Bombyx mori: one gene and its partners. The protein of the gene in region 4 binds, or shares a complex with, the protein of the main gene of each other region. Links are inferred from orthologs where the notes say so. Each region holds a gene or a part of one and is shown on either strand. Other genes may lie near its edges.

The links.
Region 1: nucleoporin Nup188 (region 4) and probable nucleoporin Nup54 share a complex: the UniProt entries of both Drosophila melanogaster proteins name them as parts of the nuclear pore complex. The link is inferred for Bombyx mori from reciprocal best matches to the Drosophila melanogaster genes Nup188 and Nup54.
Region 2: nucleoporin Nup188 (region 4) and nuclear pore complex protein Nup205 share a complex: the UniProt entries of both Drosophila melanogaster proteins name them as parts of the nuclear pore complex. The link is inferred for Bombyx mori from reciprocal best matches to the Drosophila melanogaster genes Nup188 and Nup205.
Region 3: nucleoporin Nup188 (region 4) and PCI domain-containing protein 2 homolog share a complex: the UniProt entries of both Drosophila melanogaster proteins name them as parts of the nuclear pore complex. The link is inferred for Bombyx mori from reciprocal best matches to the Drosophila melanogaster genes Nup188 and PCID2.

What each region holds. Positions count from the first base shown.
Region 1 is NC_085121.1:5,992,494-5,997,806, reverse strand, and holds the start of probable nucleoporin Nup54, read right to left. Parts: upstream 3,431-5,313; 5' UTR 3,266-3,430; coding exon 3,202-3,265; intron 2,723-3,201; coding exon 2,615-2,722; intron 1,552-2,614; coding exon 1,456-1,551; intron 1,189-1,455; coding exon 959-1,188; intron 1-958. UniProt on the Drosophila melanogaster protein: Component of the nuclear pore complex (NPC), a complex required for the trafficking across the nuclear envelope. Essential for the nuclear import of nuclear localization signal (NLS)-containing proteins in an importin alpha/importin beta-dependent manner.
Region 2 is NC_085121.1:1,006,132-1,011,302, reverse strand, and holds the start of nuclear pore complex protein Nup205, read right to left. Parts: upstream 3,431-5,171; 5' UTR 3,223-3,430; coding exon 3,207-3,222; intron 2,859-3,206; coding exon 2,698-2,858; intron 2,078-2,697; coding exon 1,957-2,077; intron 1,158-1,956; coding exon 980-1,157; intron 138-979; coding exon 1-137. Other genes in the region: cap-specific mRNA (nucleoside-2'-O-)-methyltransferase 2, read right to left, coding at 5,094-5,171. UniProt on the Drosophila melanogaster protein: Plays a role in the nuclear pore complex (NPC) assembly and maintenance, but with limited role in NPC permeability. Required for specific nuclear import pathways such as Mad import.
Region 3 is NC_085115.1:3,909,454-3,914,649, reverse strand, and holds PCI domain-containing protein 2 homolog, read left to right. Parts: upstream 1-1,766; 5' UTR 1,767-2,152; coding exon 2,153-2,368; intron 2,369-2,729; coding exon 2,730-2,898; intron 2,899-3,493; coding exon 3,494-4,302; 3' UTR 4,303-4,947; downstream 4,948-5,196. Other genes in the region: Nopp34 (nucleolar phosphoprotein), read right to left, coding at 275-400, 475-555. UniProt on the Drosophila melanogaster protein: Required for the export of nuclear mRNAs and involved in mRNA trafficking in the cytoplasm.
Region 4 is NC_085111.1:4,871,739-4,877,245, reverse strand, and holds the start of nucleoporin Nup188, read left to right. Parts: upstream 1-2,061; 5' UTR 2,062-2,221; coding exon 2,222-2,241; intron 2,242-2,307; coding exon 2,308-2,521; intron 2,522-2,626; coding exon 2,627-3,231; intron 3,232-3,349; coding exon 3,350-3,470; intron 3,471-4,407; coding exon 4,408-4,521; intron 4,522-5,153; coding exon 5,154-5,453; intron 5,454-5,507. Other genes in the region: adk2 (adenylate kinase 2), read right to left, coding at 891-1,127, 1,339-1,440. UniProt on the Drosophila melanogaster protein: Component of the nuclear pore complex (NPC), a complex required for the trafficking across the nuclear envelope. Required for proper protein transport into the nucleus.

The DNA of each region.
Region 1 (5,313 bases), on a different chromosome or scaffold from region 4:
ATCGTGTAATAAAAATCAAACCCGCAAAATTATAATTTGCGTAATCACTGGTGGTAGGACCTCTTGGGAGTCCGCACGGGTAGGTACCTCCACCCCGCCTATTTCCGTCGTGAAGCAGTAATGCGTTTCGGTTCGAAGGGTGGGGTAGCTGTTGTAACTACATATACTGAGATCTTAGAACTTATATCTCGAGGTGGGTGGCGCATTTACGTTGTAGATGTCTATGGGCTCCAGTAACCACTTAACACCAGGTGGGCTGTGAGATCGTCCATCCATCTAAGCAATAAAAAAAAAACTTTTTTTTCCTACCTATGCTGAACCTTGAGAGGCTATTTCAGCTTCACTCTAATGTGTAGGTGAGCTCACGGGGTTCAAACCGGAGTGTTGCTAACACTGGCTCTAGCAAGAGCAGTGCTTCGCAGAATCTACCACCGGATCGGAAACGCAACCCACTGAGAAGATCCGGCGAGAAACTCAGTGGGCTGGGTCAATTCGCTCGTCGAGCCCTTCGTCGCAAGCGACGGTTTCGACGAGGACGGTGACCGGTGCTTGATACTGAAAGCACCGTTAATAGATCGGGAGGATCCGTAATGACGTGTTTTGGGCTTGTATCAACAAAGGTTAACGTTTTGTAATAAAAACGCTTCTACATGGTACAAACATGTGCTGATACATTCAATTATTTTTCATAGCTCTGTTATATGCGTTACCCCTAATATATTGACTATTGCAATTTCGGTCGCCCATTTGTTACTGCAGAATGACTTCAGAGTAAAAAAGGTCTGAGTTACAGAGCGAAATTACGAGGTTTCATCGTTTGCCGTGTGACTGTCGAAAACTAAAATCTATTTAAAAAAAGTTTCACTGATATACAAGCCCTACTGAATATTAATACGTATTTCATAAAAATATATGTTTTTCTAGTTCACTTCTTGTATGGTAATTGAATCAAACACACCTGTTGTTGTCCAAATTGATTAGTGCCAAGACCAAATCCACCGAAACCAGTTGACGGTTTTGTACCAAATCCACTGCCAAAAGTTCCGGTACCGAAAGCTCCTGTATTCAGATTGCTGGAACCTAGAGTGTTTGTACCAAATGTTGGTGCTGCACTCGCAAATGTATTGGATCCAGTTCCAAATAAACCAGTCCCAAATGTGTTCGTCCCAAAGCCAGTTGTTCCAAAACCTTTAACAATTGTGTAAATAATTTTGTCAATTATTAATAGTAATTAATTTGGAATTATATCTTTTTCAATATTTCAAATATCAAAATACAAAACTAAAGAGAAAATTTAATAATTAAAATGAAATCTTTAGGTATCAGTGATTACTTTGTAATACATGAATGTATGCATCAAAAACACTACTCGCATAATACATCTGATCAATCAAAGGTAAATTGGAAATTTGAAAACGTAAAGTAAAAATGTAAGTAAAATTTAATCAATATTACCAGTGGCAGGTTTGGCAGCTCCAAATCCAGTCCCTCCGAACAATGAATTAGTAGTTGTTGTAGTAGCAGTGTTACCCAAACCACCAAAAGGTGTTGCTGAAACATTAGATATTACATTATTACTACACTAATTGATATCAGTGAATATTATGCAGTGGCATATTGTTCTCGAGCAAATCGATTTAGCTTAATGCTAAACAGTTAGCTTTTGTAGCCTTGACTATCTGCGCATATTGTTTTTAAATTATGTGTCTTCTATATCATTCATGTGTTATTTGAGCTATAGAAACTCCATAAAATTAGACTGAAAAAATTATTATTCACAATTTATACGCTGAAATAAAATATACATTAAAAGTGCGATAAAATTAAGATATCCATACCACATGTGCATGTAAAGTTCGAGAGCAAAAACCACATTCTACTTTGATCGGATGTTTAGTAATTGTCATATTTAATTATGATTGTTTTGGAGTATGTTACATTAAACATTTTTCGTACAAATTGGAAATGACTCGTATTTTTTCCTAGTAAATTGATATATCTATACTAATATTATAAAGAGGAAAGATTTGTTTGTTTGTTTGTTTCGAATAGGCTCCGAAACTACTGGACCGATTTGAAAAATTCTTTTTCCATTAGAAGCCGACATTGTCCCTGATGAACATAGGCTACTTTTTTTTAAATTTTTTTTTTTTTTTTTTGTTTCATGTGTGTTTTAATGTTTCCGAAGCGAAGCGAGGGCGGGTCACTAGTTGTATACTTTAATTGAACTATAAACAACTGTGTATTTATACAGTTTTCAATCATTAGGTCTAAGAAACTTTTTTAACTAAGAATAGTTTGAAAGAATCTACATTTTTATATAGGTTATATGGGTGGACAAGCTCACGGCTCACCTGGTGTTAAGTGATAACCGGAGCCAATAAAAGTAGTAACCGGAACTCATTTTAAAAATAGTAAAGTCTTAAAATGGTAAACTTTCTATTCACACCACCATTATTAAATCACCAAAATTGAATGTGTCAATATAAAAATAGCTCTTGTCTGATTTTCTTTTATAGTTTTTGGTAATTGAAATGTGTAATGGTAGTTGTAATAATAGTGCAGAAATATATTTTTTTAAATTAATTATATTCTTAGTCAAGCCAAGTATTACCACTACTGGTCCCAAAGGAGCCAAAGCCCGATGAGGTTGTCGTAGTACCAAAATTAAACCCAGTACTGGTGGTTGTAGCAGTACTTGTTCCACCAAATGAAAATGTCGCTGGAATTAAAGTACGAAAGTGTTATTAAACAATTTAAACTAAAAAATTGGAATGACTGCCATGAATACCTGCAATTTGCAAAATGTGAACAATGAAACAGAAATCAATTTAATCATTTTTGTGACCAGGAGATGAAATAATCTTCATTATGTAGCTCCACTACATTAAGTATATTATGTATCAGAATCACAGTTAAGATATCCACTTGCCTGCGTAAACTATGTGACACAACTTACCAATGGTCAAAATTAGAATTAAGGGAAATTTGAAACCTAGTAAGTGAGAATAGGTATTACTGCGGACAATGAAGTAATAACAGTAACTCAAAAAGTTCGCGTTCCTTATCTTTCATTTAATGGCTCATTAATTTGATCATTGATGATTTCATGTAAAATTCTCTGGCCTTATATGTGTTATAGAACTTTCAGAACATATTTAAATGTTCTTGTGTTACATTTACATTCTAAATTATACTCACGTTTGGCGGCAGCACCAAAAACCGAACCTTGTGTAGTAGTGGTATTACCAAATGAAAAAGCCATTGAAACTATAACTAAATTAAACTATAAACCATGAACATACAACTATAGATTCTTGTAAAATTTAATTTAAAAATATGAACGGTAAGTATTTATTCTAGGTTGTCCATTTCATGAAATGTACCAAAACCATCAAAACATAACAAAATTATCAGACTTTTTTAGTGTAGTCCTTTGGATAGGCAAAGGAAATATAGTCTATACACCTAATTATTTTGTCGCCAATTCATGTCTGTTGGATGAAAAGTGATGTGGAGGAAAAGTGAAATACATAGTTTGTTTATATATAATTGCATGAATGCTTCAGGAACGCAGAGAGAACAAACATTGTCTTTTTTCATCGTGTTAAGTGTGACTTGTTACTGCTGATAAAGTGGACTAGCTCCGTGGCTATAACAATTAATTAAAATTTAAATAATACTTGAAAACATTGTGTTCACTTGTATATTAGAAAAATAATTTTCATAATGACAGCGCACATCAAAAGTAAAAGAACACAATATAAATTCAAATGCAGTGCATCATTGACAAGTACATGTGGACAGCATCACGAACTTCCAACAACCGCAAACAAACTAAAAATACCAGGCACGGCACTCAAGTTTGCTAGGGGCGTCACTTAACATACACACCTACAAAAATATAGTCCAAACATTACATTCCACGTGTGAACTAGCCAATAGACACAACCCACTAAGTTTCTCGCCGAATTTTCTCAATGAATCGCGGCTTCGATCCGGTGGTAGATTCAGCGAAGGACTGCTCATGCTAGGGCTAGTATTAGGAATTCTCTCAGGTTGAACCCGTGAGTCCACCTACCGGTCCGCTCGTAGTTGGAATAGCCCCTTAGACTCCCAACAATTAGGTAGGGAAAAAATGCACTCAGTATGTATACAATATAATTTAGTGGGTAGGATCTAAATGCCATCCTTTGGCTCGCGGTCTCCTCTCAAAGTTTGCGGATTGTCCATGTTGGAGTTTGTATATTAAATGTAATGGCAGGCAACACTTGACACTTGATTAGATTTCGAATATTGGAATTATTTTAAATGTTTTAAAAAACAGATCATTGTATTCTCGTAAGAAAATGTCAGTGACTTCTCATCTAGACACGGCAAGACAAACATGTAATAGTTATATAAAAAATATAAAGATAATAATTGTATAATGGTGTAAAAGTGTTCAAGCAATCTGCAATATAATTATAATGAAGCAGTTGTGTTTTTAAATAGCCCCTCATCACCTAAAGACCCAATCCCCTCAAATGTAACCATCCAACAGGTTATGGGCCCAGACCAGAATTTATAAGGTAATATTTATTATAGTTTGCTGATTAAAACATCACCTACGCCTACAACTTCACCATGGAAACGAAACTGTTTGTAAAAATTTTTCTTAGCAACCAATATGAAATGAATTTAATGAAAATAAAACCATTAAAAAAAACAGAAAATGTTATAATATTTGGCTGAAATACCAAACAGAATTATAAGAGTATGAGATAAGGTAATAGAAGGGAGAACAACAAATAAAAAATAATCGTGAAGACGAAGTCGACAAAGTTCGAGAAGGTGCTAGAGGAAGATATGGAGTTAATGAAGTTCGAGAAGGTGATAGAGGAAGAAATGGAGTTAATGGAGTTCGAGAAGGTGATTTTAGAGGAAATAGTAGTAATGGAGGTAATGAAGTTCGAGAAGGTGAAATAGGAAGAAATGGAGAGTTAGTGGAGTTCGAGAAGGTGATATTAGAGGAAATAATACTAATGGAGTGTAATAAAGTAGAAATGGCGTATAGTTCGAGAAGATGTTGTTGAAAGGCGAAATAATAGAGAATGAAATGAAAATGGAACAAATGATGGCAGATTAACAAATGAAAATCTGGTCATGGAAAACTTTGAGACTTTAAGTGACTTTGAGACATTTTTAAAAAAAAAGTGAACTTGTGTTTTGGGAGAAATGGGTTAGTTTATAAGATTGATAGGGAAATTTAAATGCTATATACAACAGTTTATATAACTAAAAAGAGACAAGGATAATTCAAAAATTAAGGGG
Region 2 (5,171 bases), on a different chromosome or scaffold from region 4:
CGTGCAGCAGGTCGAGCGTGGCCCGCACGTCGCAGCGCGGCAACGCGTCCAGCACGCCCGCACCCAGCCCCCCACTGCACGCCTGCTCCACGTAGCGGCTCACGTACCACACTACCTCCGCACGTGCCGATATTGACCTGACATAATGCAATGTATTTTTTATTTTTATTGCTCAGATAAGTGGACGAACTGTCGGCCCACCTGGTGTTAAGTGATTACCGGAACCCATAGACATCAACAACGTAAATGCCCCCACCCACCTCCAGAGACATGAAGTCGAAGTTTCAAGTGTATTGCAACTTTGAACTTTAAGACACAAAAGTCTGTTTTATAGTACAATAGCTGCCTCACCCTTGAAACTAAAAAGTATTACTTCTGCATGGCAGGTCAGCCATACTTATCCATACAAGTTCATGAGACTTACCGATAAAAGTCGTCGTGGCCTAAAGGATAAGACGTCCGGTGCATTCATATTAAGCGATGCACTGGTGTTCGAATCCCACAGGCGGGTACCAATTTTTATAATGAAATACGCACTCAAAAAATGTTCACAATTGACTTCCACAGTGAAGGAATAACATTGTGTAATAAAAATCAAACCCGCAAAATTATAATTTGCGTAATTACTGGTGGTAGCACCTCTTGCGAGTCTGCGTGGGCAAATACCAGCACTCTGCCTATTTCTGCCGTAGAGCAGTAATGCGTTTCGGTTTGAAGGGTGGGGCAGCCGTCGTAACTATACTTGAGACCTTTAACACCAGGTGGGCTGTGAGCTCATCCACCCATCTAAGCAATAAAAAAAAACACCATACCACCAATGAGACTGAGAGATGTAAATGCTGACTAGTACTGCTGTTAGTAAACCCTCACTAGACAATGTTAACATCACACAATCATTCTTATTTTTCAATTTACAACCTTTTTCTGCACATAATGTATTTGTAAAATGAACTAATTTAAAACAAAAATTTGCACTCACCAACAAACACCTTCTCTGGCCATGCATAGTTCTTTTAATGCCTGCACAAGTGCTCTACGTCCATCATAGTACAGCAAAACGGCCACAAGGCCTCGTGGCAGACCAGGGTGACGTGGTAACTGTCGCTGTGCTGTATGAAGCAGCTCTAATGCAAGGTATTCATTCACATTGAACATATCTGTAGACAAAAATATATTTTATGGACTATATTATAATGAATTCACAGAACTAATTTTGGTTCTTTAAAACATTAAGTGAAACATTAAAATACAATGAAAAGATTTAAGTTACAGAGATGTGAACCATGCAGGATTTACACATACTTACAATGTTGTTTTTATGAATGAACTGGCCTGTAGGCTTTTCCTGTTTCACCAAGACAGGTGCGCGAGCAAAGGCTCAGCCAGGAAGGAAGGGATTTATTTGCTAACAGCTGCCTGAGCGCCTCTGGCGGAGACCTAACAACTCAAAGGCAGCTGCTTTGCAAATGAATCTACTACCAGATTGGAATCGCTAACAAGATCCGGCAAGAAACTCACTAAGCTGACGTATGGGTTAGGTGCCCGTGTGAGTATGGTCACCAGTGTCTCTAAGAATGCTCCTAGCAAGCTAAGGCATCTAATGCAAGAGTTATTGGATCTAATGTGTATGGACGTGTCTAGGGCGTCTACAGTGACTGGCTCCTGGTGAGCAGGAGTTGGGGAGTAGTCAGCGGCAGTATTGATAACGCGATTATCTTGACAAATAGCCTTGCGAAGTACTCTTCTGAAACTGACTTCAGGTTTTTCTGGATCAATTCAAGATTACCGATGTATCAAAAAGTTGAGCAAAAAAACTTCAAATACACAAATTTTACTATAAGAAACCAAACAAAATATTGGAGTGAAAATTTTTAAGCTGGAGTCTTGAAGTCACAAAAGATATAGGATTCCTTCGTATTTCTTAAACTTTTAATGAATTCAAATTCATAATATTACCTGATATAATGATAGCTTCATCCACAAGTTCTTTAGATATGATGGTCCTCCCTATGCTAGGCAGTGTGATACCTTCAGTCATACCCCTCTTTAGTTCCTCCCTGCTTGCCAGGTTTTTTGGCTAAACAACATAAAAAAAATACAAATTTACAGTAAAGTATAACACAACATTAGGTTTTGATTTTCAAGTTCAAGGTTTCAAAAAGAAACCACCAGAGATGAAAACACAAATTTAATTTAGTTTAATTAACTAAATTTTATAATCATTTTATACCTATCGGTTTACATTGTGGCATTTAGCATTTGAGTGGATTAATGATGACTTAATGAATAGTGAAATCAAGGTGATAAGGAATTAAATCAATTGCATGAAAGAGTGGTACTGCACATTTAATTTTACAAATGGTCAATTGGGAACCTTTATTTTATTACTTATAAGGGCAAATGAGTTCTCAGACCACCCAATGTAAAGTAGTTACCAGAACCCCTTCACATCATAACATTAATGCCTCCACTGTATTTGCAATAGACATAAAATAATTTATAAACAATGTAACCTATTATGAATATTTACAAAAGTAAGATTATTATAAAAATATAATAAAAAGCACACTTGACTTCTTACAATCAAATTAATTGCTTTTCTTGATACTACATACACTTCAAGATCATCTCGAGTTTTGTTAGGTTTAATGAAACAGAAGTATCATGAAAGAAATTAGTAAAAAATATGTCACTCACTGGATTCTTAAATAAAGCTAGAAATGTTTGCTTGTGTCTTCTAAGAACTGACTCAAAGGTGTGTACAGCATAAAGGGCCCCACCACTCTCATGTGTAAGATAACTCTCCACTACAGACACCAACTCTTTGTAGGGCGTCCACAGATCGTCTGTGGTATTGCCTGAAAAGTGGTAGTTCATTTAGACAATTCAATTAAACGTATGAACGCAGTTAGGAAATAATAATTGTCTGGTCTTATTTCTCGGTGAACCGATATATGTTTGAAGATAATCAATGAAATTCATTTTAATTGTTTTTTACAATTTTTTAATAGATTTAAATAGAGAATTTTTTTAAACATACTTTGTTTAATTCCGCTATATAAATAGGAATTCTACTGCAGAGAACGACGACTGCAGTATTGTTTAAGAAGATCATTTGAAAGAAAAAAGGGAGATTTGTACATTTATACTTTTAGTAAAGAGAATAAAACAAATTTAGGTTATATGTCGGTATCAGTTTTGTTTACCTTCGTTGATTTCCATGATTACTTAGCTGTTGGCATCAGACTTGAAACATAAATATTAGTATTTCACGCAAACTTAAGGTATATGACTATCTTATTAATTATATTTATTATTAAAATACTATTAGTTTGGCGTTTGAAACTTGAAATTTTTTGAATGTCTATAAATGAAGCGACAAACAAACGCGCGCGGTTGCTTTTTTTTTTGACAGTTGTTGTCAAAGTCAAGTTGAGTAGTGGTAGCAGTTCTATTTTTCCAACTAGAAAAGTAAAGATATCAAACCATATATCCTAATCTTTTTTACATATTATTTTTTACGATTTATGAATCCCTTATTAATAAATAACAAATCAAAATAATTTAACATAAATCCACACAAGTAACATCCCATACCAGGCACCAACCGACTGACCATGGAATTAGAGATATGGAATAAACTCAGTAAAATGTTGGTTATTTCTCAGTTATGTTTATGTTGCTTAAATGGGTGGACGAGCTCACGCCCCCCCCCCCCCGTCACCGTTCCCGTCGAAACGTAAATTAACCGTCAGACACAGCCCACTGAGTTTCTCGCCGGATCTTCTCAGTGAGTCGCGTTTCCGATCCGATAATACATTCTGCGAAGCACGGCTCTTGCTAGGGTTCGTGTTAGCAACGTCGTCAGGTTTGAGCCCCGTGAGCTCACCTACCAGTTAAGGTTCCGCTGAAATAGCCTCTCAAGGCTATCAGCTTAGGTAGGAATAAAAAAACCTACCCCTGGTGTTAAGTGGTTACTGGAGCCCATAGACATTTGCAACGTAAATGTGCCACCCACCTTGAGATATAAGTTCTAACTTCTAAGGTCTCAAGTAGGTATAAGTATAGTTACAACGGCTGCCCCACCCTTCAAACCGAAACGCATTACAACTTCATGGCAGAAATAGGCGGGGTGGCGGGTGGCGGTACCTACCCGTGCGGACTCACAAGAGGTCCTAATTTTATAATAATTTGCGGGTTTTATTTTTATTACACGATGTTATTCCTTCACTGTGGAAGTCATTCGTGAACATTTGTATTAGAAAAATTGGTACCCGTCTGCGGGATTCGAACACCAGTGCACCGCTAGATACGAATACACCAGAAATCTTATCCTTTAGGCCACGACGACCTCAGAGTACAGTAAAAGCTCTTTATTCGCGGAGTATATGTTCCGTAAATATGCCGCGAACATAGAAATCGTGAAATTTCATTTATCAGGCAGCGAAGACGGCTCCTGTCAAAGACAGAACCAATACAGCGGCGATGTCATATCAATTTAGCGTTTTGTTTTAGGCCTGGTGGTAATAAGATCTATTTAACTTTTTATTAGTCTATTTGACGACGCGTTTACAAATGATATTCGATTGGATACCTACTTATCGGAATTCCTTTTTAACAATGTATCGATTACGTCCGCGCAACGGCGTATCCAGGAGGGGGGTCATGACCCCCCCCTGAGCTAGTTCCAGGACTTGAACTAACTTGGACTAATTGAAGAACATCATGATTTATTTATTATCTTAACTTGCCCACGACTATGTGACCCCCTCCCGGCGCCAAACCTGGATCCGCCCTTGCGTCCGCGAATAAAGAAATTTTTAGCATTTTTTTTAAATCCCCTAATAGTGAAAACGCAAATGAAGCGCGAACAAGGAACTTTTATTGTATGTTACATGAAAGTTTTAATATATTTATTTACGTAGAGCTCATCATCGTAATAAAAAATATATAGAACCACATTGAGATAACTTTATTAAACATATTTCAAACAGACACAACAATTACACAGGTAAAGTACACTAGAAAAATACATTAAATTTCAAGTCTTGAATTCAGAATATTAGAGTAAATGCAAAAGACGAACATACATTTTATATTAATTTCTCTATTTTTGACAAATACTCAATACACTTATTCCTGTAAAAGGTGTTATTGTAGAACACGATGCT
Region 3 (5,196 bases), on a different chromosome or scaffold from region 4:
AAAAAACCCACAAAAGATATGAGTCTAAATAATTGCAAATAATTTGTAAAGTATAGCTTTTTGGGCAGAAATAGGCAGGGTGGTTGTTACCTAACCGCGCCCACTCACAAGACCTACCACCAGTAAAAAATTAATAAATGACCTTTTGTACGTTTTTTTTATTGGTATTTACAACAAATCAAATTATTCCAGGCGGTCTATTAACAACAGGGACTCTTCTTCGACGGTGGGACGGTAGTTTGCCAATTAAAGCAAAAAAAGAATTGTAACCAACCTCATAAAATCCATGTGGGATATGTCCCAAATAAACAAGCCCTCTTACACGTTTCTTTTTTTTTATTTTCTCTTCTTGTACTTTAGGGGTGACGGGGGTCTGATCCTTCGCTTGCGTTTTTTTCTTCTGTGATATAAATAAGAATAAGTACACTGGTTTTTTATAACCTAGTCTCAAATATATAATGTTATTAATACTACCTTTATAGTTTTTTGCAATCCTTTAATGGATTTGATAAACTTTTTTTGTTTGCTAGAATCCAACGCAACGTTTTCTTCCATTTTATTTCGTAATTTAAAATGTGATTTAAGCAAAAACTTAGAAGTGTAAATAAAGAACAACAAAGTCTTCTTTTTTAATTTTTAGGGATTTTATGACCTGGTAAGTAGGACCTTTAAGTCAAGTCTTATTTTTATTTTTATGAAAAGTGGTATGAAATGAAGGAAGCTGATTAATATAAAACAATGCACGAAATGTCATAAAATGAAAATGAAAATGAAAACGAAGTGAGACGAGACGAGACGAGATGAAACGGGACGAACGAGCACTTTCACAGATACTAAATAGTTAATAAACCACCGTTATTACACATTTAAACCTGAAGAAACACTTAATAGACAAAAATTTAATAAAACAAATCTCACAACTTCACTCTTCGCATTCCCGCCAAAAAGTCCCAAGCCTTCTCGTGTATTAAGTGCACAGATTGATGTTCGTTTTAATATGTATCGTTTGCGTCAGATAGGTGTAGGCATTACATATTATCTATTTTTTAGCTGCAAATACGGTACATCAATTTAATATAAAAATAGATTCCCTTTGGCTATCTGGTAGAAATAACAAACTCTCGTGTAACAGACACAAAAAGCTCAAGACCTTTAGGCGGGATCGTGAGAAAAGGATTAATGTGACTTGTTACATTTTGTTCATTTACTTTATGCTTAAACGTATAAAACAGTGGTTCACTAGCTTTTTCGCACCTGTGTTAATGCTTAAGGCTATGTTCCGATGTACACTGGGAGCACTGTAAAATATAATGTAAAATTAGTATACTGCGAAGCCATTCCTTTAATAGCTGCACTGGTTACTTTTTTAAATGGAACACAGTACAGTATAAGGGTGAGACCGATATATTAGTATTCATTAAGATATTCGTAATACAGCTTGGGAATTTTTAAATGCATTACTTTTTAATGTTTGAACCTTCATTTCTTGATTCCTTGAAGTCAAATTCCTAGATACAATATACTATTTATATTATTAATAACTAATGTGTATTATCTATGATTATTAACTTATTTCACGAATACCGTATTAGGTTTAACTCGTTTACCCGTTTTATCAAAGTATATTAAGATATCAGGATATTCACGTATTAGTTAAGGTATTATAATATTACATAACGAATATATTTGTATATTGACAAATATCAGTATTAACCCATCGTTAGTACAGTATGATGCCTGCAATTTGTGTCTCAAACAAAAAAAAATGTATGGTTGCCGCTGTTATAATTCACTTCATCTAAAAAAATAAATAAACATTTGATTTCACTTAATTACATTCCATTTCACATAATAAGTATAGTCTTGGCCTTCCAAATGCTTTAGCGGTATAGACTTCTTTCCGTGTGCCTATCCAAGGAATGAAAAACTTATCCTTTCTCCAGTTGAGCTGTGGAAAGTGGAAATGACATATAAAGAAAACAAAATTTCAATGTTTTCATGAGACCGATTTTGCGCTAATAAACTCTGATTCTTTGATAAATATCAATCATGAAATGTCGATTGACGAAATTATAGGAAAAACTACATTCTTGTAATTTTGTATATTAAAATTAGTCATTCAAAGTTAAAAATCCAGTAATACCTAACCACAATGTCGATGATAACTGGCACTCTTAATCAATACATACAATGTGTGGAACGTATGTACAGAACGGGACAAGGTAACATATTGTCTAGACTGTTGTCTCTAAGAGATGAACATGTCTACAATAGGAATCTATTATCTAGCGATATTGCAACCCTTGTCACAGGAAATTGTGTTGCTCCATTAGATGAACTTGTAATTGCACACTTATCATGTCTTAAGGTGAGATATATGAATTTAATTCTGGTTTTAAATTGATAAATATAGATTAAAAAATAGTAAATGTACCATTATTAATCTGGCCGTTACTACAGCGAACATTACCTGTTAAGTGTATTTTAAATATATCGTTTTATTAGCTTCTCGTCAAATACTTTTACTGGTGGCAAGACCTCTTGAGTCAGTAGTAGTCAGAAGCAGTAATGCATTTCGGTCAGAGACTGAGACCTTAGAACTTATATTTCAATATGGGTGGCGCATTTACGTTGTAGATATCTATGGGCTCCAGTAACCACTTAACACCAGGTGGGCTGTAAGCTCATCCACCGATCTAAGCAATAAAAAAAAATGCTTTGCATTCCAGGCATTATATGCAAGTGATTACATTGAGGCATACGATCATCAGAGTATATGTGTGGCCTCTGTCGTAAAGCTATTACAGGGACAGAAAGAAGAGAACTGGTGCCTTCCGGTTATGTATGCTGCATGTTTAGATCTTAGACTTGTTGCACAGAAAGCAGAGGCATCTAGCCGTAAGTATGAATTTGCATACATCATTCAAGAGCTAAGATAAGATGGTAATAGTATCAAGTGATTAGGGCATTAAGAATAAGATGCCTGGAGTACTCATATTGAAATCTTCAAATGCCAAGGAAAATAATGTGTCATAGAAATGAGATCTTATAGTATTTATGATGGTCGGTTGTGTTATAAGTTTGCACAACTAGGTATGTATTACCAAACTGCTTGTTTCTGTACTAAAGCAATCATGTATTCTAGCTTGAAGAATAGTGCAGCAATTACACTATACAATTCAGCCTTAAACTTCATCACTTAAGGCAGACTTCACAAAGTAACGTCTACAGACTCTAGTAACCACTCATCATCTGGTGGCTGTTTAAGTGCAGGTTCCCTTCTACTCAAGATTTGTCTCCTTAGTCTTGTTTGAAGAATGACTAACCCTAAGTGCTCAGTATATTCACAGGTGGTAGGATTCAACTCTGTTATGGTGGTACAATGTCGAAAAAACGAAATTATCTCAAATACTTGCATGAGTTGTTGTCTTAGTCAATATTGTGTTAAATAATCTGTATTCTGTACAATTAATTTCATTTGTCAATATTTCAGCTCAAAATGGCAGTAAAATTATGGAAAAAGCAGCAGAGAGCTTATTAGCTTGCTTCAGAGTCTGTGCTGCTGACAACAGAGCTTCAGATGTGGATACCAAAAAGATAGGCATGTTGTGTCTTGTAAACCAACTTCTTAAAGTATATTTCAGGATAAACAAGCTCCACCTTTGCAAACCATTGATTAGAGCCATTGATTCTTCACCATTCAAAGATCAATTCCCACTGGCCCAACAAATTACATACAGATATTTTGTGGGTCGTAAAGCCATGTTTGACTCAGACTATCGTCTAGCTGATGAATACTTATCGTTTGCTTTTGAAAATTGTCACAGAAGAAGCATACGAAATAAAAGGCTCATTCTAACTTATTTAGTTCCTGTGAAAATGCTGTTGGGTTTCATGCCCGCAAAATATTTACTAGAGAAATATGATTTGCTACAATTCTGGGATCTAATATCAGCTGTGAAAAATGGAGATTTGCGTGGTATCGATATGGTTATGGAGGAACATGAAAAGTTCTTCATAACGGCTGGTATTTATTTGATTGTAGAAAAATTAAAGATTACAGCATACAGAAATTTGTTTAGGAAAGTATATTTAGCGGAGAATTCACATCAGATAGACATAGCCAGCTTCGAGGCAGCATTACAAATCATGGGACAGGAAGATGTTGATTCAGATGAAACTCAATGTATTGTTGCAAATCTCATATATGATGGAAAAATCAAAGGATACATCTCATACCAACACAAGAAAGTGGTTGTCAGTAAACAAAATGCTTTTCCTCCATTATCTAGTCTGTATTAAATTTATACCATTTAAATAATACCTAGGGGAATACACACTTAATTTTTTGATTGTTTTAATAAAAATTAAGATTCCATTAGCATAAAGGCTGATTAAGTGAAATGTGATGATGAGCAATTGTATATCTGACGCAATTTCACTATTTAAATACTTTCTTTTTGATTACATATAATATCCATAAAAATACACAAAACAGTTCAGTAGTCCAGTTTTTTTATTTTAGTAGCACTAATGTGTTTAGGGTTGTCATTAAATAAAATAGAAACTCACAACGGTAGGGGTGTCTTTACACCAAAATATGTCATTAATAAAACAAAATATTATACATATAATACATAACATGAGTCCAAACCTTGTCAGTGAATATGGTTAAGCACTATAACAATAATATCTATTAATTGAGTGTAATTAATGTGGATTTTAATAAAAGATGATGATGATGAGAGATTAATGACATGATGTGTAATTGTTTTGAATCCTGCTTGATCTGTATTAAGTTTAAAATTTAAATAAACGTCTAGGGATTACAGATAAATAATAATTTTGAATTCGATATTTCGCGTCGTTCGGAATCTCTATTTATGAAAATACTATTTGTCCCTGTTTTGTATCGTATGTTGCAAATATATTCCATTACCAAAGTGAGCAATAGTTTCAATGTTCCCATCACTATTGTTTTTCAAATTTTTATTGAATTGGAACGTTTGCCTACGTTTGCCGCTAGGGGCGCTGTTCCAACTGCATACAAATTTAAGTTTACTTTTACGCTATCAAGAACGTTAAAAACTAACACTAAGCACACTGAGTAGATGATGTTATGGATATAATTGGATAGTAAACTTAAAAATACATAACCAGTTATATAATAAAGGAAAAGTTTTACTGACGTGACAA
Region 4 (5,507 bases):
AGTTTTAAAAATGTCTAAAATTTAGGCTTCTAAACCAGAATACCGCCTTAAAAGGAAGTAAACAAAAACCAACACTGAAATCATTTCCCAAGAATATCTTACATAAAATCGTTAAAATCTGACATCTGACCAAATGATGACACACTAAAAACTGTAATTTAAAAAACTAAAAATCACTAACAATGAATACTTCTTCCTGGTCGACTGGTCGGCAACCTCGTCAACCAAAAAGCCAAATATAGATAACACAATTGAAATTTCTTCAGCCATTTATTAACATATTTTTAAAGCCTTGATAAACTGTTTACTGGTACTCTTATAAGGCAAGACAATAAGTAATATTCTGTGCCTGAACTAAAGATTCAACACAAGAGCCATGCCACATGCGGCACCTATAATACAGATTGCCGACCACTGTCCTAGTTAAATAAAACTAAAAAGGTAAAATTGATTTTTAAGTGTGGACAGTTTATTCTACAAAGCAAGTTATTAGGGTTATTATATATTTTAACCAATAATTTGGAAATTAAATGAAGTTCAAAACAATTAAGTTTGATTGTAGAAAATATAGTCCTTAATATGTTTACTGAATTTCAATATGTTCAATTTGTTATGAAAATTGAATATATTGATGTAAAATATATATAAAATGTTTTGAAATATTTTGGAATGGATTAAAATCATCATACACACAAAAAAATTATTAAAAGCTATTAAAAAAGCACACAAATCCTGTGCTAGGCTTTTTTACATTGGCTTTTAATCTGCCTCAAATTGCATTTTTATACTATCTACTAGCCATCAAACTAACAAGTTCTTTTGTTATATCCACTTATTGCCTTGATTTTTCTAGAAAGTGAAGAAAAGTATACCCGACTTTAAACACATACCTTCTCAGCCTGGGGTACAGTTCTAGGGAATCCATCAAGTAAGAAACCATTCTTGCACTCAGGTTGATCCAAGTTCTTGTCAATCATATCAACCACCATTTCATCGGAAACAAGTTTGCCCTCATCCATGACCTTCTTAAGGCGTCGTCCCAGGTCTGATCCCGATGAGACTTCAGCACGCAGCATGTCACCAGTGGATAGGTGACAAACACAATACTTTTCTTTCAGACGAGGAGCCTAATGATAATAAACAAGTTCTCATGTATTTCAAAAATTGAATAACTGGCTTCATTATTGAATTTCTAATTTATATTTCTAATTATTAAATACTAATCATTAATTAAGTATTTATAATTATTAGCCTCAATGATACTTAAGTAATAATCAAATATTCACTATTAGTTATAATATGAGATAAAGAAGGCCAAAGTTCAATTAAACCACATACCTGAGTCCCCTTACCGGATCCAGGAGGGCCAAGTAGCACGGCCCTTATTCCTAAAGGATCCTCATCAGGTTTTAGTTTCGTGGCTGCAGCGGCCGGTGCCATATCATCAAATTCTTAAGCCTTCAATTAATTAGAGCCCTGTACAGACAAATCTGTCAAAGTTAGAATTGCAGAGGTGTTGTAACTACGTTTAGATATGCGTAAATTAGCACGTGATATAGTAATCAAAAGTTCAATTGCAATTTACATGATATCTTAAAAAATTATCAAAACTTTTTAAATGAATTTAATTCCACTCACCGAAATAGCCGACAGGCAAAGGGAAACAAAGTCCATAACGAAAAAATTATAAGGTGAGAAAAGGTCAAAGCCATACATATTTAATTCAAAACAAGTGGATTAAATAAAAATAAAAACACTTAGAATGAGGTTAGAACTCATCTCGAATTTAAATAAAACTGTAATTAAAGCATTGGTGAATTTTGTGAGGAGGCTCCAAAGGACTTTTTGAAGTAGCGGAGAAGTTATTTTTTTTATGAATTTAGTTATTAAAATTTTAATCAATAATAAATTGTTTGTATTTTTTATTTTTATGTTAATCAAATTGATTTAATTCTTTGTTTAACAGACGAAGCTCAATTGTTTTAAAAATATGAATGACTTATGTACTCTTTGCCTCTGAAATCGATAAAAAATATATACTTTGACAACAATAGTTGCACTTGACATTAGCATCATAGCCTCGCATAACCTGAAAATGAAGAGGCGGTAAATATTTATACGAAACTGTTTTCTATAATTTCCACTTTTAAAATTTTATTCTGTACCTAATATATGTCAAACCGGCTGGTCGTACTAGTTCTGTACTGCAATCAAGTTAAGTATGACAACGAGTAGTGTAAAGTAAGTTTCGTTCGTTAATTTTAAGTATTTAGTTTAAGCATTTCTGTATTTAACTACAAATTTCAGTTATTGGAAGAGGCTATGGCGCTGGACAACTTCGGAGAGTCTGACTACAGAAGAATTGACCAAAATTTTTGATACAAAAGAAGTAAGAGATGGACTTAAAATTGGATTGGCTAGTTACAAACAAAACAAGCCTGAGGACTTTACCAAACTTCAGTCACAGTATCCGGATCAAACAAAGCTGCTCACTATAGTGCAGACACTTCAAAATTATATTGTGAGCTGATATTTCAAATATATTACGTTTAATAAAATATTTGGGAATTTTGTTGTGTGTAATTCCTGTAGTTTTCAGTTAATAATACTATGAATTTTCTTGCAGGATGTCGACTGTTTTCAATTATGGGAAATATTAAAAAACTATTTGTGTGATATATCGTATGGTACACCTGAGAGTGCATTAAAGAATGTTGCATTTGTTGACACCCGACCTACATATTTGTCTCCCAAAGTATGGAGCTTCTATTATTCTGAGCGACTCTTTCTACTCAAATTGCTTCAGTACATCATTCAGCTTAAAGATGATGCTCAATATAAATATCAAAAGGAATTCACCAAGATTATTGAAGATATTGGCATACAAAACATTAAAACCTCACTCATATCTCAATTTGAAAAGGTCTTAAGTGCTGCTCCACCATCTAGAAAAATATTGAGTGATTTTTCTAATGATTCTGTGCGACACACTTGGTTAGAGAGTAATTTGAGAGAACAATTAGCAATACTTCAAATACTCTTAATAATTGCGGAAAAGAACACATTTCAAGCTGAAGAATTCAAAAAATTGTTTAATTTGTTCATAAAACACAGTTTTGGGAAGAATTATGGGTTCAGTGAGTTCCTGGGAGAAAGACACAGAGAGCAATGCCTCTGTATTATGTACATGGAAGTTTGCCTGTTTATGATCATTATTGATCATTTGAAAATGTAAGAATTTGGTGTAAACATTGTAATTTATTTTTCATTGTTTTATTCAATTTATTTTTGGCACTATATATAACATATTGGTGTTGTAATTTACTTTGGCTTGGCTGTGACATTTCAGTGATAATTTATCAACATGGATAGAAAATACTAAAGAAGTTGTAGAAACTGAATTGACAAAAATTCAAATGTGTACAGAACACAGTGCCATGCTTTTGACGTGGATGCTGGTAACGTTGCAGGTAATTATCAGTTTTTTAATTAAGGTATTCATCATGCAAAGCTTACTTGAAGGTTTAGGTGCTTTTAGGCACTACAAGCACCGGTCATCGTCCTCGTCGAAACCGTCGCTTGCGACGAAGGGCTCGACGAGCGAATTAACCCACAGACACAGCCCACTGAGTTTCTCGCCGGATCTTCTCAGTGGGTTGCGTTTCCGATCCGGTGGTAGATTCTGCGAAGCACTGCTCTTGCTAGGGTCAGTGTTAGCAACCGGTTTGAGCCCCGTGAGCTCACCTACACACGCTAGGGTAAGCTGAAATAAACTCTCAAGGCTATCAGCATAGGTAGGAAAAAAAACCAGAAGGTTTATAATCAACGTTGCTTAAGAATAATATTGTTGAAAGAAAAACAACCAATATCTGATTTTTATGTAATAATATATATATATATTATTACATAAAAATATATATATATTTATAGGTAATAAACCCGAATGTGCTGTTTTGAGACACTGGGTTCATATACGTACCCATATACCAGGAGCCTCAAAGCAGCGCAGATTTGTGAATTAAATGTTTAAATGTTTTAATTGCTAATTTTAATTTTAATTTTAATTTTACTAACATAGTTCTAAGTATTATTCTACTTACAACATAATAATATGGACTTAAGAGGGTCTGAATTAAATGAATTTTATTTTTTTTATTTTTTATGTCACAGCTGGGCAGAACAAATGACAAATCTTTTTTAAAGGATTTATGTAGTGCAGAACTTTTACTATCTTGTAGAGTTCTCTTGACATTCGTTACATAATAATATGAAATACTTACTAAATATATAGCAAGTCAACGACATTGATTTGTAGAAAATAGCCCTGTAATCTATACCAAAAAGTATATTTACACTACTCAGTAAGGCTCATAAATTTTTTTGTTGAACATTGTGTTATTGTTACAGAGTGATCAACATGTAAAATTATTTGAAAGCCAATATCAACATTTTGGCAGTACTGCAATGAAGATGAAAGTGTTTGAGTTTCTTCAACAGATGCTGAACAGTCCTGTATTCTCAGTAAGTATTCATTCACACATTCATTACCGTAACCTTTAAAAATATTTTGTGTTATTTCATATCTATTCTGAATTTTCAATATAAATTATTATCTAACATAAGATTAAGATAAATGAAGGAACCTTTCAACGTTTTATTTGAACTGCTTACTCATTTTGGTTTGGTAAATGTTACCCTTAACAAACAAGACAAAATATAGGTATATAAAGGAAAGTCCTAAAATCCTGACTTGATTTATAACTGAAAATTTGTATTTTCATATACATCGTCTGTCTATCTATCTGCATGTCTGTCTATCTATCATGATCATTCATTTAGGACAGCCTTTCCCAAAGTAGGCGATAACGCTCCCTTATGGGCGCTGCAGGCCTAAAGGGTAAGAGACCCAAAAAAAAGGGGGGCGTTGTGTAGAGGTTTGAGGTAATTTCATCTAGGACGACTCTTAGACACCAACTGTGCTCTCGCTATGGTGGTTTTTAAGTAGGTGAAAAAATGGGGCCGCCAAAAAATAATTTATTCTCAAAACGGACAGTAGACATAATAAGTTTGGGAACTCCTGATTTAGGACCATAATTTATGAACATTACACTATAGCGAGAGATTACATACATTAAATGTAATCAACCTTGCAGGATCAATCAAAGTGCTCACAAATAGCTAAACAAAGAATGTTTAATATCCTCAACGAGCTTTGTGACAAGTTTGATGGAGACGGAAGCCTCAGCAATCAAACTGGCATTATACAGCTGTGTTCAGACCTGCTTCAGTCACCAGAAATAGCTTGTCAATTCTGGAAACTTCATCAGAGAGACAAAGACTTTGGTGTAGTGTCATTATGGAATACTGCACTAGAATATTTCCCTCATCATTTTAGTCCTCTCTCAAATTTAGCTGCTGGCTTAGTTCAAGCTGGTAAGAACAGCGTCAGAAATGTAAGTAATTTTAAGTAATATTTTTTGATTTAAATTGCTAATAGCATTCTTAAC